Danio rerio: one gene and its partner. The protein of the gene in region 1 interacts with the protein of each later gene in a biochemical or structural test. Links are inferred from orthologs where the notes say so. Each region holds a gene or a part of one and is shown on either strand. Other genes may lie near its edges.

Region 1 (10,718 bases):
GTCTTGAGCCCTGCGCGTGCATATCGTCTAGATCAGCGCGGGATCTTTCGCTGTCAACAATAGAGGCGCAAAGCTCTCCTGAACGCGCAGCAGCCAAAGCCAAGTTTCATGTCGGCATAACATTAAATGGATATAACGTGTCTTATAGGGTTTTTGGTCATTCCTGTAGGTGTACATATTGCAGCGTCAACTTGAGGTGCAACGTTTGCACGCGCGCCGTCATGCAGTAGATGAGTGCACAAGGAAGATGAATCGAGGTCAGTTGAAAGAGAATAACAAAGAGAACCTGCTCTGCAGTCTCGCGAGCAACCATTAGCGGAAGCGGCTGCTGTTGTGTGTTTGACACTCGAACTTCGCAGTATCGCTCGAGACTGTTGGGACCGGAGGCACAGAAACCGACGTTTAGCCATTATGTTGGGTTTTTAGTGGATGAATATCTCGTCAATCGAGGGTATTTGAGTGGCTCACATGCTTCGCGCGAGGTAAACGTTATTTCAAATACGGAGCACGCGCGTTTGGGGAATTACCGGTTAAACCTGGAGTCAGCCGTTGGTTATTCGCCGATAACTGAAAAGAGTGACGACGACACTTTACATTATGGTAAGTTTTTGTCTTAAATGTCACGATAAACTGGTAAAACTAATCCAGTTTGTGTGTTCACATAAGTCAACCTATGTTTTAGATTATTTATTTGTAACGGCAGTTTTGATACATTTAAAAAAAGCTCTTAAAGGGACAGCTCATCTTAAAAATTTGAATATAAGTTTGGTTTTAATGTTCATTTGTTCAGCATTATGCTGTCTAACTTTAATTCCTTTCCCTATAACGTTATAAGTTTCGAATAATTAGCTTTTCCGGTGTTTTCCACAATTGTCTTTCAAGTTTAAAATGACAAAGTTACCATAAAGGTAACGTAAGTTTAGTCAACATGATTTTAGCGTAATTATTTTTTAGTCTTTTGATAACTTTAGGCAACTGACACTCTAAATAAAAGTTTGACATCCTAAAATCCCAACTAACATTATGGTTTAGGCATTAACGTTACTTGATGAAAAAAGTGTCTAGTGCATTATTCAGTATTTTACCCAATCAACAAGCATATAAATGTTACTTTAAAAAATGTTTACTTATTTTAGTTTATTTTATTCAACTTGTTTTTAATATAAAACGGTAGACAGTTTGTTGTACACATGGCGAATCTAATTTACTAATCCCTCAGCATATGTTCACTGTCCTGAAGATAGATACAGTGCACTCATTAAATTACGTCAAAGATATAAGCAAGCAAGCAAGCAACACATTGCTAGTTATATTCATGTCAAATGAGTTTTGTCAAACGTTAATGAACCATCTTGATGCGAAATGTGTTGACGAAAATTTACCCGAAGTGTAAAGTGATGAAAAAAAAATCAAAGTGTTACTTCCTGCTGTTTTTTTCTGAAGGTTTCAGTATGACAGGTCTATTTGTAAAGTAAAAAATAAATAAATCCTATCTTTTTAGTAGGTGAGAGAAAACTCTTTAATTATAGACTAGTTATTTATTTGCCCCTTTGCTAAACAGCCATTCCCTTATTATGGCCCTGAAATCAGTCTTGTTTTAACTTTCCTGGCTTCTCGATTTGTTAAATCTGTTTTATTTATTACATTAAGTTAGTGCTGTTGAATGATTAATCATGAATAATCACATCCAAAGTTTGTATTTTGTGTATATGTATTATGATATATAAACACACACACACACGTATGTATTTAAAAATAAAGATTTACATGTCATATATGCATGTATGATTTGAATTACTGTACATTTATTTGTATTAATAATCAAATTTTATTGTATAATAGTAATGTTTTACTGTCAAGTTGATTCAAAGGTTTATTTTGGGTTGTTGTGAAGACCATTAAATTTCTGTATGTACATAATATGGTGATCATTTTTCTCACTTTCTAATCTTCTAGCCATTTTTGTAAAACTATATTTTGTATCTTTTTCAGGGAATTGGACGCAAGGGTTAAACTTTTTTCCCCAGCACGACCTTGGGGTCGAAAGTGACCACTACTTTTATCAGCTTTTATTACTTTTACTACCCTGCCCCCTCAGGAGACCCCCTATGTTGATTGAATACACCCCACATTTTTTCAAAGGATGGATGAGCTGAAGTCTCCTTTTAATCACCACAATCATCATCATCATCATCAAAGTATTTTGAACTGTGCATGGATCCTGCGCTACTTTTATCACCAGGGACTTCCTGTGCTTCTCTCCAACACTTTATTTTGCAAAAGTATTGACTTTATCTGAACTGCTGTTTCGAGAGGAGGAAGGATTATCAAGTTTCCACTTGGTTTAAAGCGGCCTCTTCTTGATATCAGATATTTATACTGCCACTTTTTTGCATGGATAGCATATAAGGTTCAACTAACTTCACGCTCCACTTGGTGGAGAAATGTCAGAAAATCTCAACGACAAGATGGTCAAGTTCCTTTCCCCCCCTTCGAAGAACACCAACGGCTCCAGCTCAGACACTCTGGTGGGTGAGCATCTAGGTGTCGATGTCCGTCGTCGCCACCACACCATGGATCGAGAACTGCTGAAGGCAGAGCACCGTTTCTTTCGCCGCAGCGTCATCAACGACTCCAATGCTACAGCGCTTGAGCTGCCCAGCAAGAATGCAATCCTAACCCACTCCACTGACTCCCATGCCCCTGTCTGTGAACCTCCTGCCCTAGAAACCAAAGCCGCTTCAGTGATCACACAATCTGCACCAGAAAAAAAAGTGGCTGATGTTGTTGAGATGGTTATTGAGTCAACACCAGTGTTGATTACAAACGCTGCACTGCATCTTTCTGCAGAAGCACCTAGTTTGGTTTCAGAGGTGAAGTCTGGAGATAGCATTGATGGAAAACGAGAGGTTGAGAAAGAGGAGGATGAAGATAGTAAAGAAAAGGCGGCACGTGCTGAGGCTGAGTTGCGGGATGCTAAGAAGGAGGAGGAAGACAATGAGGAAATTGAGACTAACGCTGTTGGGACATCACCGGATGGCCGCTTCTTGAAGTTTGACATCGAGATAGGACGTGGCTCTTTTAAGACGGTCTACAAGGGACTGGATACGGAAACTACAGTGGAGGTTGCATGGTGTGAGTTACAGGTACGTGTATTTGTAAAGTTATATTAATTTATTTTTCTTTGTTAGAATGCGTTATTGAAACCAACATTTTGAAATGTCGAAAATATGATAAATACCTGAGAGCTCCCTCATCCTCCATAAACAGCAACGGTCGCGATCTCAAATGCCAAGAAAACCAAAAATATTGTCCAACAAAAAAAATTGTCACTTCAGTGGTTTAGTTGTTATTCAGTGGTTTAGAACAAACAGATCAACCACTTTTGATGCTAATAAACAATCATAAAGTCCTCATGCTGCAGGAATTAGGAGTTTTGCTGAAGGTGCAGTTGTTGTGCAGTGTGGGGTTTGCGTCTTTAATAAACTACGATAGTTTGCGTTCACTGAACAGTAAGAATGATTAATAAATCCGTATCAATCAGTCCCTTAAAACTCACGTCTCCAAGTGAACCGCGCTCTTGCACACCTCTTCCAACCGGGCCAAGGCCAGTCAAGTGAACCGTGCCTGAGTCCGATTCAGAGCACTCACACTTTTCAAACAATTCGGAAAACGAGCCTGGGCACGGTTCGGATAGCATAGTGTGAGTAGGCCCTTACATATCAGATCATTAAGGCACTTGTAGTTTTGACAATGGTTCTTTTCTGGACTTCGAATGTCTTGGGATCATTGCTGGCTATGCTGAATAAGAGCTGTCTGGTTTAAAATATCTTAATGTGTTTTCTGAAATTGAACAAAAGTCTCAAGAGATTGGAATAACACGATAGTGAGTTATTAATAACATATATAGTTTAAATTCTGTCTATAAAGATTTATAGGTTGTCATCAAAAATTAGTTACCGCATGCATAAAATGAATGCATTTTTACATTTATGGATCCTGATTGTTGCAATCTGTGGGCAGCACGTCACAGTTTTTGACAGCTAGGATAACAAAGTGCAACACTTGACGTTGTTAACACTCTTGATCTATCCGCTGACGGTGGTAAATCACTATCTGATCTGTTCATCTGGTTCTACAGCAAATACGGTCTCATTCTCATGAACTTACAACCCTGTCTTAAGGTGTTTCCGGTACAGCACCTGGTTATTACAGTCTTATGACTAAGTTTGATTTAAATTTTCAGCGCCCCACCTGGGCCTTTTAAAATGGTGTGTCATCCGCTTGTATTGTTCAGTCTTAATTTAGTTGTGTAATCTTTTTTAGAAGAAGGAAGACACTTTTACTAGTCCTTTTGTCACACCTTTGGCATTTCTCACCTATGAAACGTCTCAACACACACCCTTCACACTTAACCCATATGGCATTTGGCCAGTGTTTTTATAGCTGTTGTCATCTTTGGCTCTAGCCCTTGTATTGTAGTATCATCTCTAAATAGAACCCCCTCAATTCCTAATTAGGCTTTAGACCTCCGGGCAGGTATTTTAAGCTGTGTGATATACACACTAAAACATTGGTGGTGTTTATTTAAAGTTTATTTAAACTTTTAGATAGTCTTATAGCTGTCAAAGCTTGTTACTTTATCAAAGTAAAATATTCTTATAGCATATATTTTTTTATTATTATTTATTTCTCTCCCTTTTATTTATTTGCTACTTATATCTTATTTTGATTTTAAATTAGTAAAAAAAAACAATATAAATATTCATATTCGGGATGCTCCGATTAATCGGCCAGAGATCGTATTTGCCGATAATCACATTTAGTTACTCGATCAGTACTCGCCAATCTGGTCAATCTCATCAAACGTTTAAGTGTAAGCGATTGCAGGTGAGATCTCCACTTAGGGAGATCATACTTAGGAAAAATGTGCTTTATGCATTATAAAGCTTAAAGCATCAGAATCGGTACTCTGCATCGGCCGATCATCATGACAAGGAATTGGTACTTTGTTTCGGGTGCAAAACCCTGATCGGAGCATCCCTGATTAGGCATGGGCCGGTATAAGATTCTGACAGTATGATAGCCTGGGATATCACAGTTTCATGGTATTGTGATTACTGCTCTAAAATATACTCTTTTTAAATGTCAGAACAAAAACTTTTTTCCTCCTTTAACACAATTTATTTTAAGAAACATATCAACTATTTTGGAGCAGTAAACATGTCAGGCTAAATCATTCAAATCAGTCATTGACTTCTGCAGTCTTCATTAGTTTCAAAAACACCTATTTCTTCACAATTTAAAACAACATCTTTGGATATTTTTTTCTTCTGGAGATACTGTTGTCCTAAAAAACAAAAGTAAAAAAGGTAAATAAAAAAATCTTACACATACCTTATGAATGGTATAGCAGATCATTTTGGCGGTTTTCAAACCTTGACTTTTCCTCACCGCAGTATATCTATCTATCTATCCATCTATCCATCTATCCATCCATCCATCCATCCATCCATCCATCCATCCATCCATCCATCCATCCACATAACACGATTGTGAGTTATTAATAAGATATTTAGTTGAAACAACAATTTAATGCAAATTGATTGCTTCACAATGGCTGGCTATATATATATATATATATATATATATATATATGCAAGTATGTGTGTGTGTGTGTGTGTGTGTGTATACATATATACATATATATATATATATATATATATATATATATATATATATATATATATATATATATATATATATATATATATAATTTATAATTACATTTGTTTTGTATTGTATATCTATTTTTAAACTGTAGTTTATTTCTTGTGACAATTCAATTATTACTTGTGACATTCTTAGTTAAAGTATATTGGTAACACTGAGTGTTTTGTTTGTTAGTTAGCTACATTAGTTAATGAGAAAAATACTTTTCATGCACTTATTAATCATACTTGATGTGAACAATAACAATTACAACTTTATACTTTTAAAAATGTATGACAAAATTATTTATTAGAGCTGAGCTGTGTTTATTAACTAATGCTCAAAATATTTTTACATTCTTATTTACAGTCTACAATCATTTAATTGTTCTCTAATTAATAGATTTATTCCAAATGAATTGTAATGGGTGACAAACCGTGAGAAACATGAGCTTTTATACTGCACACTAGAATAATTACACAGTGAATACATCCCTGCAATCTTTTGACTTTTATTAGTTTATGATATGATAAAAGCATGACTAATCTCCACGAGGTTTGCTTAGCAACAGCACCTCCATCGGAAAATCACCAGCTCACTTCTAACAAGCCTTCATGCATTCAGAGGCAACCTCGGTTTTGTTTTTATCATGAAGAAGCAGTTTTGAGAACATATCGAGAGGTGTGATTTGAAAAGTGGGTCAAGTTCAACCACCAAAGCAATGGTAATCTCCTGTGTGAAGTATTTCGAGCTGGTTTGCCACGGCTTGACTCTACAGCTTCTCTCCACCCCCTGCTGCCTATTTTTTTCGCTTCTTTTTTTTTTTTTTTTGTGCAGAGCGATGACGAAGCAGCACCACGTGAGCTGCAATTCTCTTGCTTTGGGCCCTCAGGCGTAGCCAGCTCATACATAGTTGAAACAAAGGCCTCTCTCTCTCTTTAGCTTTCAGTCTCCATTTATATCCTTTTTTCGCATTTCACTGTCCTTGTTTTTATCTCTCAGCTTGTCTTTTTGTGATATGCTGCTATGCGTTCCAAGCTGTGAGTTCACAGTGCTGCAGAAAAAAGGGAAGGGCCTGTATATCTTCCCCGAGAAGGCCATCTGTCCTCGGCGCCTTATGTTAAACTCAGGGATATTCCCCTCCCACATTTGTCTCCTTTTCTTTTTTCACATGCTAAACACATTTGAACAATATGTAGGTCACCACAAATAGAAAAGGAAAATAGCTCTCAGATGCTTCTTTTTTACTGAAGTTTCTGTATATGTCCAAGTGAATATACCACATTAAATGCTATGTCTAAACTAGCCAGAGAATTGAGTCATGGTTGCGATTGCATACCACTGACTTTCCAGCAACTGTTAAGTTTTACCCCAGTTGTCCTGCATTTGGCTTTCGCCCTGCTTTTGATCCCTTTAACAGACCCGTGTAAATCCATTTAGCCTTCTGTTCTAACTTTGAACTATTAAAAGGTTTCTATGGCCCTTTGACAGCATTTATAATGGCTACTTTTTGTTTTAATGTGCTGAATATTTTGTTTAAAAATCTATTAAAGTAATACTATATATTATAGGGATGCTCTGATCAGCATTTTTGCAGCCAATACCAAGTAACGATTCCTTATCATGCTGATCAGCCGATACAGAGTACCAAGAGTACTAATGCTTCAAGCTTTAAAATGCATAAAGCACATTTTCCTCTAAATATACTTGAGTGGAAATGTCTCCTTACCTAAGAGAATAAATAAAGGATCTTGCAAATAATCCTGATTTTAAACATTTTACTTATAACCATTTAGTGTGGACATGTCATATGCAGAAATTAATAGATAAAACTGATTAAAAAATAGTATAAAAATGACTAATAATGCAATTTAAGAAACACTGTAAATGATGGAAGAATTCAACATGTCTCAATCACGAAAAGGTTTAGAGCCCATATTTGATGCATAAGAAGTTAAAATGCACACCTATAAATACATATTTGTTTATTGCGACAAGTACATTACAAAAAGGCATATTATTAAATATTCAAGTTAAAAAAGTTTTTTTTTCCCATTAAAAATCGATTCATGAGATAAGCCAGATTTGCAAGTACTGTTTGAGTCAAAAAATGTAATCAGCAGATACCGATCTCCGGCCAATCGATCAGAGCATCTCTACATGTGATCTCATATCCTGTTTATAGATCACAATACAGTGCCATTTCAGTGATTTAACCAAATAATAGTTTATACATTTTATATATATATATATATATATATATATATATATATATATATATATACATATACATATACATATATATATACACACACACACACACACACACACAAACACACACATATATATATATATTTATATATATATATATATATATATATATATATATATATATATATATTTATATTTATATTTATTTATATATATATATATATATATATATATATATATATATATATATATATATATACATATATATATATATACACACACACACACACACACACACACACATATATATATATATATACACACATACGCGCACACACAGTTGAAGTCAGAATTATTAGCCCTCCTGAATTATTAGACAGCTTGTTTATTTTCCCCCAATTTCTGTTTAATGGAGAGCAGATTTTTCCAACACATTTTCCAATCATAATAGTTTTAATAACTCATTTCTAATAATTGATTTATTTTATATTTGCCATGATGACAGTAAATAATATTTGACTAGGTATTTTTCAAGACACTTCTATACAGCTTAAAGTGACATTTAAAGGCTTAATTAGGTTAACTAGGCAAGTTAGGGTAATTTGGCAAGTTATTGTATAACGATGGTTTGTTCATGAGATTATTGAGAAAAAATTAAGTTTAAAGGGGCTAATAATTTTGTCCCTAAAATGGTTTAAAAAAAATTAAAAACAGCTTTTATTTTAGCCAAAATAAAACAAATATTACTTTTTCCAGGAGAAAAAATACTATCAGACATACTGTGAAAATTTCCTTTCTCTGTTAATCATTTGGAAAATATTTTAAAAAGAAGAAAAAAATTTGAAGGGGGCTAATAAAGTTTAAAGCTGTTCATGTTTCTGTTTGCATCCCCATAATGGCGTGTAATATTGTACTCGTATAAATTATGAAAATAAATTATTACCTCTAACAGTGTATTTTATGGCACCACAAAATAAACAATAGAGCATTATTTGAAAAGATAGACTTTTTATTTTGTCCATATGATGTATATTATCATATTGCATTGCCCTATTTACAGTCTCTTAAAGTTCTGGTTACTAAAAGTTAAAAAGCTCTTTTTTTATTTATAAATACAGTCATACATTTACAATGTATGTACTCTATTATTTAAAAGTTAGGGGGTCAGTAAGGGATTTGTCTAATTTATAAAGAATACACTAAATTGATCAAAAGTGGAATTTTGTTTGGAACAATGTAAAAGTCTTTACTATTGCAAATAAATGATGTTATTTATTTTTCATTTTTCAAATATTTAAGAAAGCACATAGATAGATTTTTAGCAAAAGTAAATTTTTTCGACCAGGATTTTTTGAGAGATTTTTTTTTCTTTTCTTTTTTTTTATTTCTGGCATCATTTATGATATATTTTATTAAAAACCTTTCTAATCTTTATTTGAAGCAATAATGAGATGAGTTTAAAGTAAAAATGTTTATTAAAATACTTTTTTGTCTGTTAGGTGTTTACTTTTGCTTAATTTTTAATTTTTATTTTTTGTAGTGTTTTAGATACCTCCTTAGAAATATCATTATAGTCATTTAATATAGGAAATAAGCACATGCAGCTCCTAATAGAATTGTTCACAAAGCATGTGATTCCAGGAATATCAATCCTTGTGCTGTTCCTTGTAATCATCAATTGCTACACACAATCCCAGCCAACTGAAATGCATAGTTTTTAAGTATTTCTTAATATTTCCAGGTAATTTCTTTCAAATCCTCTCCTTAATCCTAATTCCTTATCTCCCGCCTGAAGTGGTATGTGCCCTCACACGTGAGTCGGATTCATGCCAGGAGCTTAATCCTCATACTGGAGCTCAGCATGCGGGCCATCTCTCCTCTGGAGAAAGACGCTCCCACGCTTCACTTGCCGGGTCCCACAGGCCACAGAGTGCACTGCATATTTGGAATAGTCAGAGGAAGGGAGAAAAAGTAGGTCTGCTGTAGGGTGGGGTGCAATGCGAGTCCCCCTTCCTCTAACTCGCATCAATTGCCACTATAATGGCTTTATGTTAAGCATTACCCTACTAAAGACATTATGCTAAACACCTCTAATTGTGTTAGTTATGCACATTTAAGCGGTTAGGGAACTTTGAACCCTAACTTGGGGCAAACAGCCGTCCCCACAGGGCTTGGCAAAGGCAAACTCGCAGCTAAATGTTTCTCATTCCAGAGATGGCAGCTGACCGCACCAAATGTAGGTCAACTTGGAATCGGCAATTGAACTGAGTGCATTGTTTGACACACAGAGCAGTTTTGTGTATTTGCTAGATTGGGATTGATCCAAGTACTTTGCAATTTTATTGTACATGACAATATTAATGCCGCACCATCTACTTTGATAGCAAATTATTACTATTTTTTGCAGTTATTTCCTCTGCTGTGAAACCACAGTTCAACACAGAAAAGTCAGAGGTGTTGAATGTGCTTAAAGGGATAGTTGACCCAAAAATGAGCATTTCCTCTTATACTCACACTCAAGTCATTCTTAACATTTCAGTTCCTTTCTTTTGTAAAACGTGAAACAAGATCTTCAGAAAAATGCTGACAAAAAGCAGCGATTTATAATAAACAAAAATACAGTGGAAGTCAATGGCTGTATTTTTCAACATTCTTCAGTTTATCTTTGTGTTCAGCTGAAGAAAGAAACTCAAACCGGTTTGGAAGGATGAGTAAATTATGACAATTTACATTTTTGAATGAACTATCTCTTTAAAGTGATAGTTAACCTAAAAATGTCAATTTGCTGTTTAATG
Region 2 (10,718 bases), on another chromosome or scaffold:
GTTCAAACACTGAAGAGCAAATCCATCAATGCGCAGCTCCACAAGTCCCAAACCAATCAAGCCAGTGGCACACACATCACACATTTAAAATCAGCTATGAAATCTACATTTTTCTTCATCTCAAACTCCATTAATATACATATTTATCCAATGTACCTCTCTTAAAGAATTATAAGTAAACTATCATATTAAATATGTGTCTAAGTGAAAGCGGTTTTCAGGCATCGAAACAATTGAAATAAGAAATTTATTTTTTCCACAGATTCCTGTTTTTGGAGCAAAAACTAAAGATTTCCAGAAGAAATATATGCAACAAAAGTTTATGAATCAAAAAAAACTGACAGGCATACACTAACTGACAAAAGTCTTGTCGTCAATCTCAGTTGTAAGAGCAGCAAATAATAACTTGACTTCTAGTTGATTATTTGGAAAAGTTGCATATGATCATCAAGGCATGAAATGATCATTAAGGCATGATCATATTTTATTTACAATAAGCTTAATTTAGAGGCCTTTGCTTTTTATATAAGCCACTTCTGATACCAAATGATCTTCGAGAGAAGTTATCAGGGCTCGAAATTAACCTTTTTGCTTGGTAGCACCGGTGCTCCTAACTTTAAAAATGTTGGCGCATCAGCCAATATTTAGTCGCACCCACCAATTATGAGCACCGTTACTACAAGTTTTATACAAAAATATTTATTGTATTTGAAATCAACACTAATCAAACTAACAAGCAAAAAAATCATGTATAACGTTATATGCAAGCGTGAGGAAAATATGTCTCAACAAAATCCCGTTATCACAAGAAAATAAATTTTTATAACAGAACTGAGTGACCAAAGCATACACTGAGCGCTCACCTGCCCTGCACGCACTGCTTGAATTAATCTGTTAACCGTATAACTGTGCTGTTCTCACAAGTGCTGTCGGATATTGCACTGATGCTTTTGACATATACTGTACCCTATTATATGCATACATGTTAATAGCAATACCGGTCTTTTTAGGAGTAGCAATGTTAGTTTACTCAGTGTAAGCCCGTTTGCTATGGTGTACGTGGTGTTAAATTTGACATATAGCTGCCACGTGCACAGCGCACAGCATCTGGTGATTATATGAAGGATTAAACAGAAGCTCTCGTGCTAGATGTGCCAAACAGTTACCTGAAAATTCCATCCCACAGAATTTTCATAGCGGACTTGAAGCCAATAGAAGTCTTCTACTCTTAGAAAAGTGTAGATGGTGGATTAACATTCAGCACATGATCACTAGTAAGATGTGTCATTATTTGTAACTGTAGATGCCATGGTTTCTCAAATAAAATCTGTCAGTGTTATGCTATCTTCATTCTCATCTTCAGCGCTTTACAATTTTTCGCGGTAGTAGCTCTCTGTCATCCAAAGCCAGAAGGCGCTGAGTGATTGACAGCTTATATTAACCAATCATTCGCGTTCAGTGCTAGAGCAGTGGTGGGCCAATAAGAAGAGTGCGAAGGCGGGGCAAGCATTACGGACTTGGATTTGTTTACTGCAGCAAGTTGACATGACAACTGTTTTAAACCATTCCTGAGAACTGCGTTTCGCGTTTCAAGTGTAAACAAAGAGCTTAGAGATGCATTCTGCGTGAATGTCTCCCGAATCCGCGAAAGTGGTGAACATTTTGCAGTAAAAACTGGTCGCACACAACAATTTTAAGCACTCGCAAAAATGCTCCCAAATATATTTTAAGGTCGCACAGATAAAATTTCGGGCGCATATGCGACCAAAATGGTTGCAATTTCGAGCCCTGAGTTATTATTTGTTGTTCCTAAAATTGGATAGGTGACAAGACTTTTGTCAGGTAGCGTATTTAAAACAAGGATAGGTTGATGTACAGCTCTGAATATAGCAATCATCTGTTACGTTACATATCTTTACACTTAGTCACTCTCCTTTTTAAACGATTAAATTAAACCAATAAATTACTTTTTCAGCAAGAGCTTTTCATCGTTAAAAATAAAATCAGTTATTATTAGATTTTTGTGCTCAGTATATTATTACCTTGGGCAGGCTGATTGGTGTGCGTGGTCTTGTTCTGTCAGTCTTTATAAGGTGCCGCTGGTCTGCAGGTAAAAGGTGGTACTTCATCGCCTCAATGAGAAAGTCCTTACAAGTATTGTTGTTTTTTATTAAAGGTTCCTCCTCCACAATCTGTACAAATGCACAATCATGTACTAAAAATAATGCTTGAAGAAATTATGCACGAATAATGCTTGGATCATACCTGAACCAAGTAATCTCTGGACAGTAAGGGAAGTCGAACATGCTCCATGAGTTTTGGCATGTGCTCTAAACGGGCCTCTTTATCGTGCTTTATCCAGGCAACCATGGCCTCAAAAACCTGGCGGTGGAACAGATATTATGTTTTTCTCTGCATAATGTATGAGTGCAGCCCACAGCCACAGCAGGTCAGGCTGCCACCCTCCTCTGTCTGTGCCACTGCTCAGATGACACTGAAACATCTGACAGCTGCCATCAAGTGTGTGTATGTGTGTGCGTGTGCAGACTGGAGACACAAGTTACTCGTAAGCAGAGAGCAGCTAATGCAGTGTGACTGACAGATGGCTTGTCATCTCCTTCAGCACTGCACCAGCATGTACATGTAAAACCCAACTATCAATCGTTTGCTGAGTACAAATCGTGCAAGAATATGTTAAAAAAAACTGTCTGTGATTGAGAAGCACAATATGCAGATGTAAATGTATTAAAAGATAACATCTGAGTCAAAACACTTGGGTTTTTGTGTGTTACCTTCTCTTCAGTTGACACAGTCAGTTTGTCACTAGAGATCAGACTGCACACCTGCTGTAAGGACAGGGCCATAAACTCCTCGCCAACCATGACGTCTGTGAAGTGCTGCTCTGCTTTAATCAAGCAAAACATACTCAAAAAAACTAAACTGTACGTCAACATAAAAAGACATATCGGTGGGTTGCTTAATCGCCAAGCTGTTCCAAACTTCCCACAATGCATGAAAAAAGATGAGAGCTCACCGGCATAAGCGTGGGCCTGGCTGAGAAGTACTGTGCAGGCGTGAAGGTCAGCGAATGCTCGGATGCCCAAGCAGTTGGTGGGATGAAGCTGTGTCTGCAGGAAGTCACAGCAAACCTGTCGAACATCCATCAACTGCAGCAGACTGGCAGCTGGCAGCAACACCTGAACACAGCAGGGATAAACACATCACAAATACTAAACTATAAAAAAAGACATCACACATACTATACATTGGTATAATGTGTGTACATTCATATACATTCAGTTTTTAAATTAATTTCAGAAATATTATTGACTTATATAAAATGTTCATTTGATTTATTTAAAATACAGTATATGGTCTTTTGGTAGATATATTAATATATTATATGAGAGACCTGCTTTGTTTACCAAATAAGTGGATCTAATTGGATTTGCATTGTAAAATTAAATAAAAGTTAAAAAGCTATACTTTTTTATTTCATCATATATTACGTTTTTACTTATTATGATAATATGAGCTCCCAAAATAATTCCGCATAAATCTGCAGATTTTTTACAAAATCTCCATGGAAATTGCCAAAAATGTCCGCAAATACCATGTGGCCCTACTGATAACACAATAAGTTATGAAATGATGACTAGCCTTAAATGCAAAAGAGTTGTGCGTTACATTGATGCACAGACATACAGAACTGAAATCATTTCTGAAATAAGTATTTTATCCTCAAGAAGACTGCATTAAATTGGTAAATAAATATGTTGTGATATTACTATCATTTTAAAAAATATATCAGTTTAATTTCAAATAATTGTTTTAAAATGTTTTTTTTTTCTGTGATCCAAAGCTGATGTTTCAGCAGATATTACTCCAGTTTTCACAGCAGAACATAACATGATCTTCAGAAGTAATTTTATGATAGTTAATTACTGACTATTTTTATATTATCTAGTAGGGCTGCACAATATATTGTTTGAGTTTAGATATTGCAATATGTGCATCTGCAATAGTCACGTAGCAACATTTGCAATGTTGAGTTGGGATTACAGTTGACAACAAAAAAAAAAAAACACAGGAGATTAATGGAGACACTGTAGAATTTAACACTAATAATAGAGTGAAGGTTTATCATCTGCATATGTTTTTAAGGCCAGTGACTATGTGAGCATTTTTAATGAGTTTAAAGCATTTTAGTAGTGCATAAAAGTTTTATTATTTATATGATGAAGACTATGTAGAAATTTTTTACATTTGATTGTTTAATTTTTGAACGTGTATACTGTTACTCTCTCCAGAATGCTTGGTTTATTTCACTTTAATATGTGTTCTATCGTGTTTATGACTGTAGTTTGTTTATTATACATATATAATAAATTGCATAAATATATACATTTATATTTCACTCCCCAACAAAATCACCTCATGCTGTAAAACAATACAGTAGTGCACACAATACATTCATGTGGTCTCAAGGCAAATCGATTAAGTTTACTTAACAAATTCAAATTAATTTGACATAAAACAAATATAATCTCAAGAATTGTGTTGTTTTAGCCCATTAAAAAAGTTTATTTGAAGAAGCAGCAAAATAATTCTTTTGAGTGCAGTCAATCTTAAGTAATGACTTTGCAAATAGAGCTAATTGTAAATATAAAAAAATTAAAAAATATAAAATATTTATAATTTTTGCTTGTTCAACATACTTATTTAAAATAAGCTGAAACAAAACAATTCTTGAGATTTCATTGGAACAACTTGAATTTTTTATGTTTAATCTACATAAATTTGCTAAAAGTGCTAGGTTAACTTAATCGATTTGTGGTGAATGACTTGTGTGGAATCCTGCATTTTTACAGTGTATATTGCAGGGAAAAAAACACTTTCAAATTTCAAATTTTCCCATTATCGTGCAGCCCTGTTATCTACGTGTAACCAGTTCATCATTTTTGCCAAAACTGTTTTTAAAAGAACAGCATTTATATGACATTAAAATTTGAAATTGAATTTGATTCATTTAATTCATCTTCAACCTAATCTAAGTACACATTTATTTATTTTTAATAAAACAAAACAAACTTCTCAGAATTTCCCAGGCTTTGCATGGTAAGGTCTATATTAATATAGACAGAAATACCAATGGCTATTATTGTAATTACAATAATACACATAACATCAGTTATACTTCAAGTAAACGGTTAATAAATACATTTTAGTTATTAGCAAACCATTACACATGTGTTTCAAACCTAGTGCCAACTGATATACTAAATGAACTGTGATAATAATTAGAGGTATCAATGAAATGAAGGCAGCAGCAGCTACTTAACATACAAGTAAAGGCCACAGGGAAAAACGACACTAAATTAGATAAAAGCATCTGCTCTTGACCATCTTGTGTTGCCTGTGTCCATGTTCTTTCTAGTAAAAGAAAGAAAATGGCCTAAAGGGATATACAACACAGGGCGTATCACAGCACTGAATGACATAGTAAAAATCCCCAATGACCAACTAAGTCATAAACAGCCACTACCCCCCACTGAAGCATCTGCCCATGCTCTCCAGATGAAAACTAGGCCACTTCATGCTATTCTTGAACAAATGGCACGAAGCTTCTAAGATCATCTGTTCTCTTCTTCTACACAAAATAAGGCCCACACGCAAGCAACAGAGCACACAGGGACAATAGAGCTCCAACACAAAGGGCAAAGAGCAAATCGCAGAAAACTTCCTCTGCCTCTCTGCTCATTTCCTTTGCTAAAAATGAGAGGAAATACCCTTCACGAAAGCTCCAAAAGCAAAAAGTGCAATCAGCTTTTATACAAACAGCTAGTCACTTTTAATGTTTGAAACATTACAATGTATATGTTAGTGTTGTCTTACCTGAACGTTTTCTTCAGACACTTCTATCTCAGCAGAGTAAATATAATCCACCAGCTTCAAGAGCGTCTGTCCGTCAACATCCCTGATTTCGACATGATTAGCTTTGCTTTCACTCATGTCACCTGGATACAATAAACACAATGCAGAATTAGGCTTTGTTTACAACTGGTATTAAGATGCACACTGATACAGATTTCTTTGAAGAAAAGGCCTGTGATCAGGTTACAATTGTAGTCAAATGTATTATTCCTCCTGGGAAGATTTATTATTTTTTATATTTATCAAGTAATATTTCACATTTTTTTCCAACACATTTTAAAACTTTCTCATTTTACATGATTTCTGCAGGTTTCACCAAGTTAGATTTAAACTATTTTAAGACCATTATGAATTAAACTTAAGACTTATGCAGGGCTAAATGCTAAGTTTTTTTAAATTTCCCAGTTAGAAAAGATTTTTACTTGGCCAATCAAAAAATAATTACAAATTAATACATTTAATAATACAATAATTATACATTTGTAGAATATTTTTTATTCATTTTCAAATATATCCATTCACAAACCCTATATCCCGTACCAACAATAGAATAAAACATTAATATTACATTATTAATATAACATTAATAATAATTTAATAATAAAAACTATAGGTCAGCTCAGTATCCTCAGTAAAAAAAGTAGAACTTTTAAGCAAATGTTACTGTAGGAAAAGTAAAGAAATGCTATTTTTAAATAAAAAGTTAAACGTTTTATTGAGATGGATTGTTGGTCATTGTATGAGTGTTAATGGCCAACTGTTTCTTTTGTTTTTGCCATGATAATAGTGCATAATATTTTTCTAGTTATTTTGCAAGATACAAGTATTCTGCTCTACCAAATGGTTGACCATATTTCTACTGTTCTACTGTTTTAAATAAAGACTGTTAAAGTATTTTAAAGAATGTTGTAAAAAAACAAACAAACAAGAAAACATGTTAAATAAGAATCTGAAATATTTTATTGCATACTTCAAAAAATATAGATGATTCAAAAATGTTTTATTTTGATTAGGTTTGTAATAAATTGGTCTTACACCCAATTTTCTGATTTTGTATTATAAACCGACATATTTACTATTTGGTGGAGGTTGATATTTTAGAAATTATGTGATGTGTTGAAAAAAAAATGCATTGAATGTGTTAACTAGCAACATTAGGAGTTAAGAAATCCAATCCAAAAATGTATTTCTTGGTGGGGCAGTTAATTAAAGTGCAATATAAAGATTTAATTAGGTAACTTAGTTTACTAGGTAAGTTATTGAACAACGGTGGTTTAGTGACATTATCACAGGAGTGCTAATCATTTTGTCTTCGACTGTGTGTATAATTTTTTCAGAAATTTCTGGAACTGTGAAATTTGTATACAAATAATGTTAAAATAGGCAAAAAAAAAAAAAGATGTGGACAGCAGGAGCTTGTCGTTAATGCTCTATTAACCACAAAAATTCATCAAACTACTTCAACCGAACACTGTGCTTATTTTATTTTTTCACTTTCAAACCAAATGTACGATTTCAGACAGCAAAAATTTAAATCCCATCTTGTTATCCCACTTCAACATGGTGTCCCATAATGATTATTAGGCCAGTTGGCAGTGAACAGGTGGCCTTTTTCTGGCTGTTGAACCACTCGACCACATGAACATCTCATTACAAAAGCAATCTGGTCAAAAGCGTTTTCGACTACCTCTGGAAAAGGACCAGAATAGCCAGTTCAAAACATTTCAGATCCCTGATATTGAGCCTTATCCACTTGTGATTGAGACAAAAACAACAAAAAACATCTTATTACCATGTACACAGTTAAAAATGAGACCTAAATGTAAAGAAATGTACATCATAACATTTTTATGCAATCAACATGACTCATGAAGTAGTTTGCTAACAATTCAATCCATCTATAAAACGATAGTTCACCTACAAGTGAAGGTTTTATCATGATTTATTCCCTCTCATATTCCTCCAATCCTGTATGACTTTAGGTTTTATATAGCATATAAAAGAAGATCATTAAAAAGAGCAAATCGTGTTTGACACAAAATGAGACATAAATCCCCAATAGCAATTTTGAAGATAATTAAAGGGCAGTGTTGGACATGTCTCATCACTGTAAGAGTAGCATTAGAACATGTAAATAAAGAATACCTGTGAACATGGCGCAGAAGTAAGGGCTGCAGGATGCTAAAACTACTCTGTGTGCTGGGATTTCCACTTCGCCTGCCACCAACAAAACATCACAGAGCATCTTCCGACTGTGGTTATAAAGAAATGAAAGAAAATTTAGGGGTTAGATCAAGACTGCTTTTTTCCAAAAGTAATAAAAACCTACTTAGATTTTATAAACCATTGGCGGCAGTGGTTTCCGTGATCTTACATAGAATTGAGGTAATATAAACCAGAAATACCTTGTGGACAAGCAGCCTACACCAACACAACTTATAATTAACTTCAAGTCAAGTCAGATTTATTGCATTGTTCTAAACCTAAAGAATTATTACCAAAAATACATTATAAGCCAATATGTTCATGACATAGCAGACTAGGGTTGGGCGATTTGGCTTAAAATCAAAATCTCAATTAACTGAACATTTTACCCTGATTACGATTTATGAACGATTATTTTATTTATTTAAATTTTTTAACTCTTTGCATATTAATTGTGTTCTTATATTTATTTGAATAAAGGGTGCATTACTTGACTTTAAAATAATTGAGGGAAACACAAACTATCTACTATCTATGATCATTTATTGAACGTCATAAAAGGGGTCTCAAGGCATCTCTGGCGCAGCCTCCAATCATCATCAATGTAGTGCAAAAGTGCAACGTGTAGTTACGTATTTTGAGAGGTGCGCAGGTATGCGAGCTCGTGAAGGCTGCGCCGGACCATGCCCGTGCGTTCGATGCAAAAGTATAAATCTGTCTTAACAGAGCGAGATCACATGACTCCACACACAGCAGGGAAAGTAATTGAAAAAAATTGACCTGGAAAATTTTGATCGATTATAGGTTCTGAATGTGATTACTTTTTAAATAATCGCTCAGCCCAATAGCAGACCTCACCAATCTTAAAGTTTACATTTTGCAACTACAATGAAGCAGTTGAGATAGGCTACATAATACATACTGCCCTACATGACTATACTGTACGCATGCAAATAAAGTTGAACAAACATATAATTTTGTCCCATTTTGGTGTAAATATATGACAATCTATGGGTTTTACATGTATGTACAATGAAAAGATGCATTTAAGAAAAACTACACTTACTAAAATGACAAGGGATTCCCCCACATTCCAAAGACATGCAGTATAGGTGAATTGGATAAATGAAATTAGCAGTAGTGTGTGAATGAGAATGCATGAGTGCCAGATTAATTAATGGTTCATTCCACTGTGGTGACCCTGATAAATCAGAGACTACACTGAAGGATAGTGAGTGAGTGTTGCATGAATAAATATGGATATTATGGTATATAAACTATTGATGCACTGAACGTATTGGGTCTTAACAATTACATTTGATAGGAAAATAAAACTTCACATCAACCAGAACATTTTTGTGAAGGATCAAATTGAATATGGTACAAATCCACTCCAAGGCAGCTAACCTGGAAATGCCCCTATCGATGTCTGCCTCCCTGAACACCATGAAAAACAAAGGGTTGAATAACAAGTTATATCACTTTACTAACCTTCTCAAGTCATTCATGAGCAGAAAGGCTTTCCTCATGTGTGTGTGACTGAAGGTGTGCAGCCCTGGATCTTTGGCATCGTCCTGAGAGTCCAAACTAGGCACAGGACAAGGGACTCCAAATCTAGTCAACGAATCAAAACAGACCTAATCAACTAATGCTAAATAGCATAATGTTACACCAATTAAACAACAACAAAAAACGAATCTCTCGATCTAAGGACCACCTAAATTAACGTTTAATAGTTTCCAATGACAACTTCATTGCACAGTTGTTCAACAACAATGTTATTACGGGATGACAAGAGTCAGTTTTAGACCACATCACTGCATATGGAATCAAGTTACTGAACGATTATGATAATATTTTGATTATCTCGTGAACTATGGACAAGCTAGTCTAGAACAGTATCATTTCACGTTACATAGACGAATTTGTATAAAAACCCTTAAATATTAAGTGTCATTTTAAAATGAATTCCCAGGAGTGGATACACAACCCTCCGCTAGCAATTTAGCTGCTACAAATTGTACTACAGGATCACAAGGCGTTATTCTGTTAGTTTCAAATTAGAATTTAATATATTACTTTCTCTTCTGCAGACATATTTGTTACAAGTTATCTGCATTTCTCTTTTTTATAATCACACACTTACCCGTCATAGTCCATGTTTGAGCAATATCGCGCTAGGCAGCTGGCTAAAGTTAGCTTGCTACATCATTTTTCCGTGTAGGATGTGTAACTCATTCATTCCCTTTATAGACGTGCGTGGTATTTTAAAGCTTTAAGTCGAGTAATGTATGTCTTCATAAGTATTCCTCGTGCTGAGCCTTGTCTCTCGTGAGATGGCCGCGGTTGTTTATCTGACTGGTTAGCAGCTCATAGCTATCGCTGCCTCACTGACTTTACACCCAGGACCGTCGTAGCGGTCCTCCATCATCAGAGGGTTGCCTGGCAACAGTGATACCATCGCTCCATGATCACCAAGGTCACTCATGGCACTGCCACATCACTGCACTAACCTGCTACTCTAGCCCTTACCAGCTATATTAAAAAAAATAATTCATACTTATACGGGTTAAAGCTAA

What was found.
Region 2: of the proteins of wnk1a (region 1) and klhl3, one has a biochemical effect on the other in vitro, tested with the Homo sapiens proteins (2 studies listed by BioGRID). The link is inferred for Danio rerio from reciprocal best matches to the Homo sapiens genes WNK1 and KLHL3.

What each region holds. Positions count from the first base shown.
Region 1 is NC_133200.1:22,389,575-22,400,292, reverse strand, and holds part of wnk1a (serine/threonine-protein kinase WNK1), read left to right. Parts: 5' UTR 1-600; intron 601-1,992; 5' UTR 1,993-2,444; coding exon 2,445-3,146; intron 3,147-10,718. UniProt on the Homo sapiens protein: Serine/threonine-protein kinase component of the WNK1-SPAK/OSR1 kinase cascade, which acts as a key regulator of blood pressure and regulatory volume increase by promoting ion influx.
Region 2 is NC_133189.1:28,554,742-28,565,459, reverse strand, and holds the start of klhl3 (kelch-like protein 3), read right to left. Parts: upstream 10,623-10,718; 5' UTR 10,300-10,622; coding exon 10,286-10,299; intron 9,754-10,285; coding exon 9,631-9,753; intron 8,187-9,630; coding exon 8,080-8,186; intron 6,018-8,079; coding exon 5,896-6,017; intron 3,198-5,895; coding exon 3,035-3,197; intron 2,903-3,034; coding exon 2,793-2,902; intron 2,383-2,792; coding exon 2,266-2,382; intron 2,193-2,265; coding exon 2,043-2,192; intron 770-2,042; exon of another isoform or gene 568-769; intron 1-567. UniProt on the Homo sapiens protein: Substrate-specific adapter of a BCR (BTB-CUL3-RBX1) E3 ubiquitin ligase complex that acts as a regulator of ion transport in the distal nephron.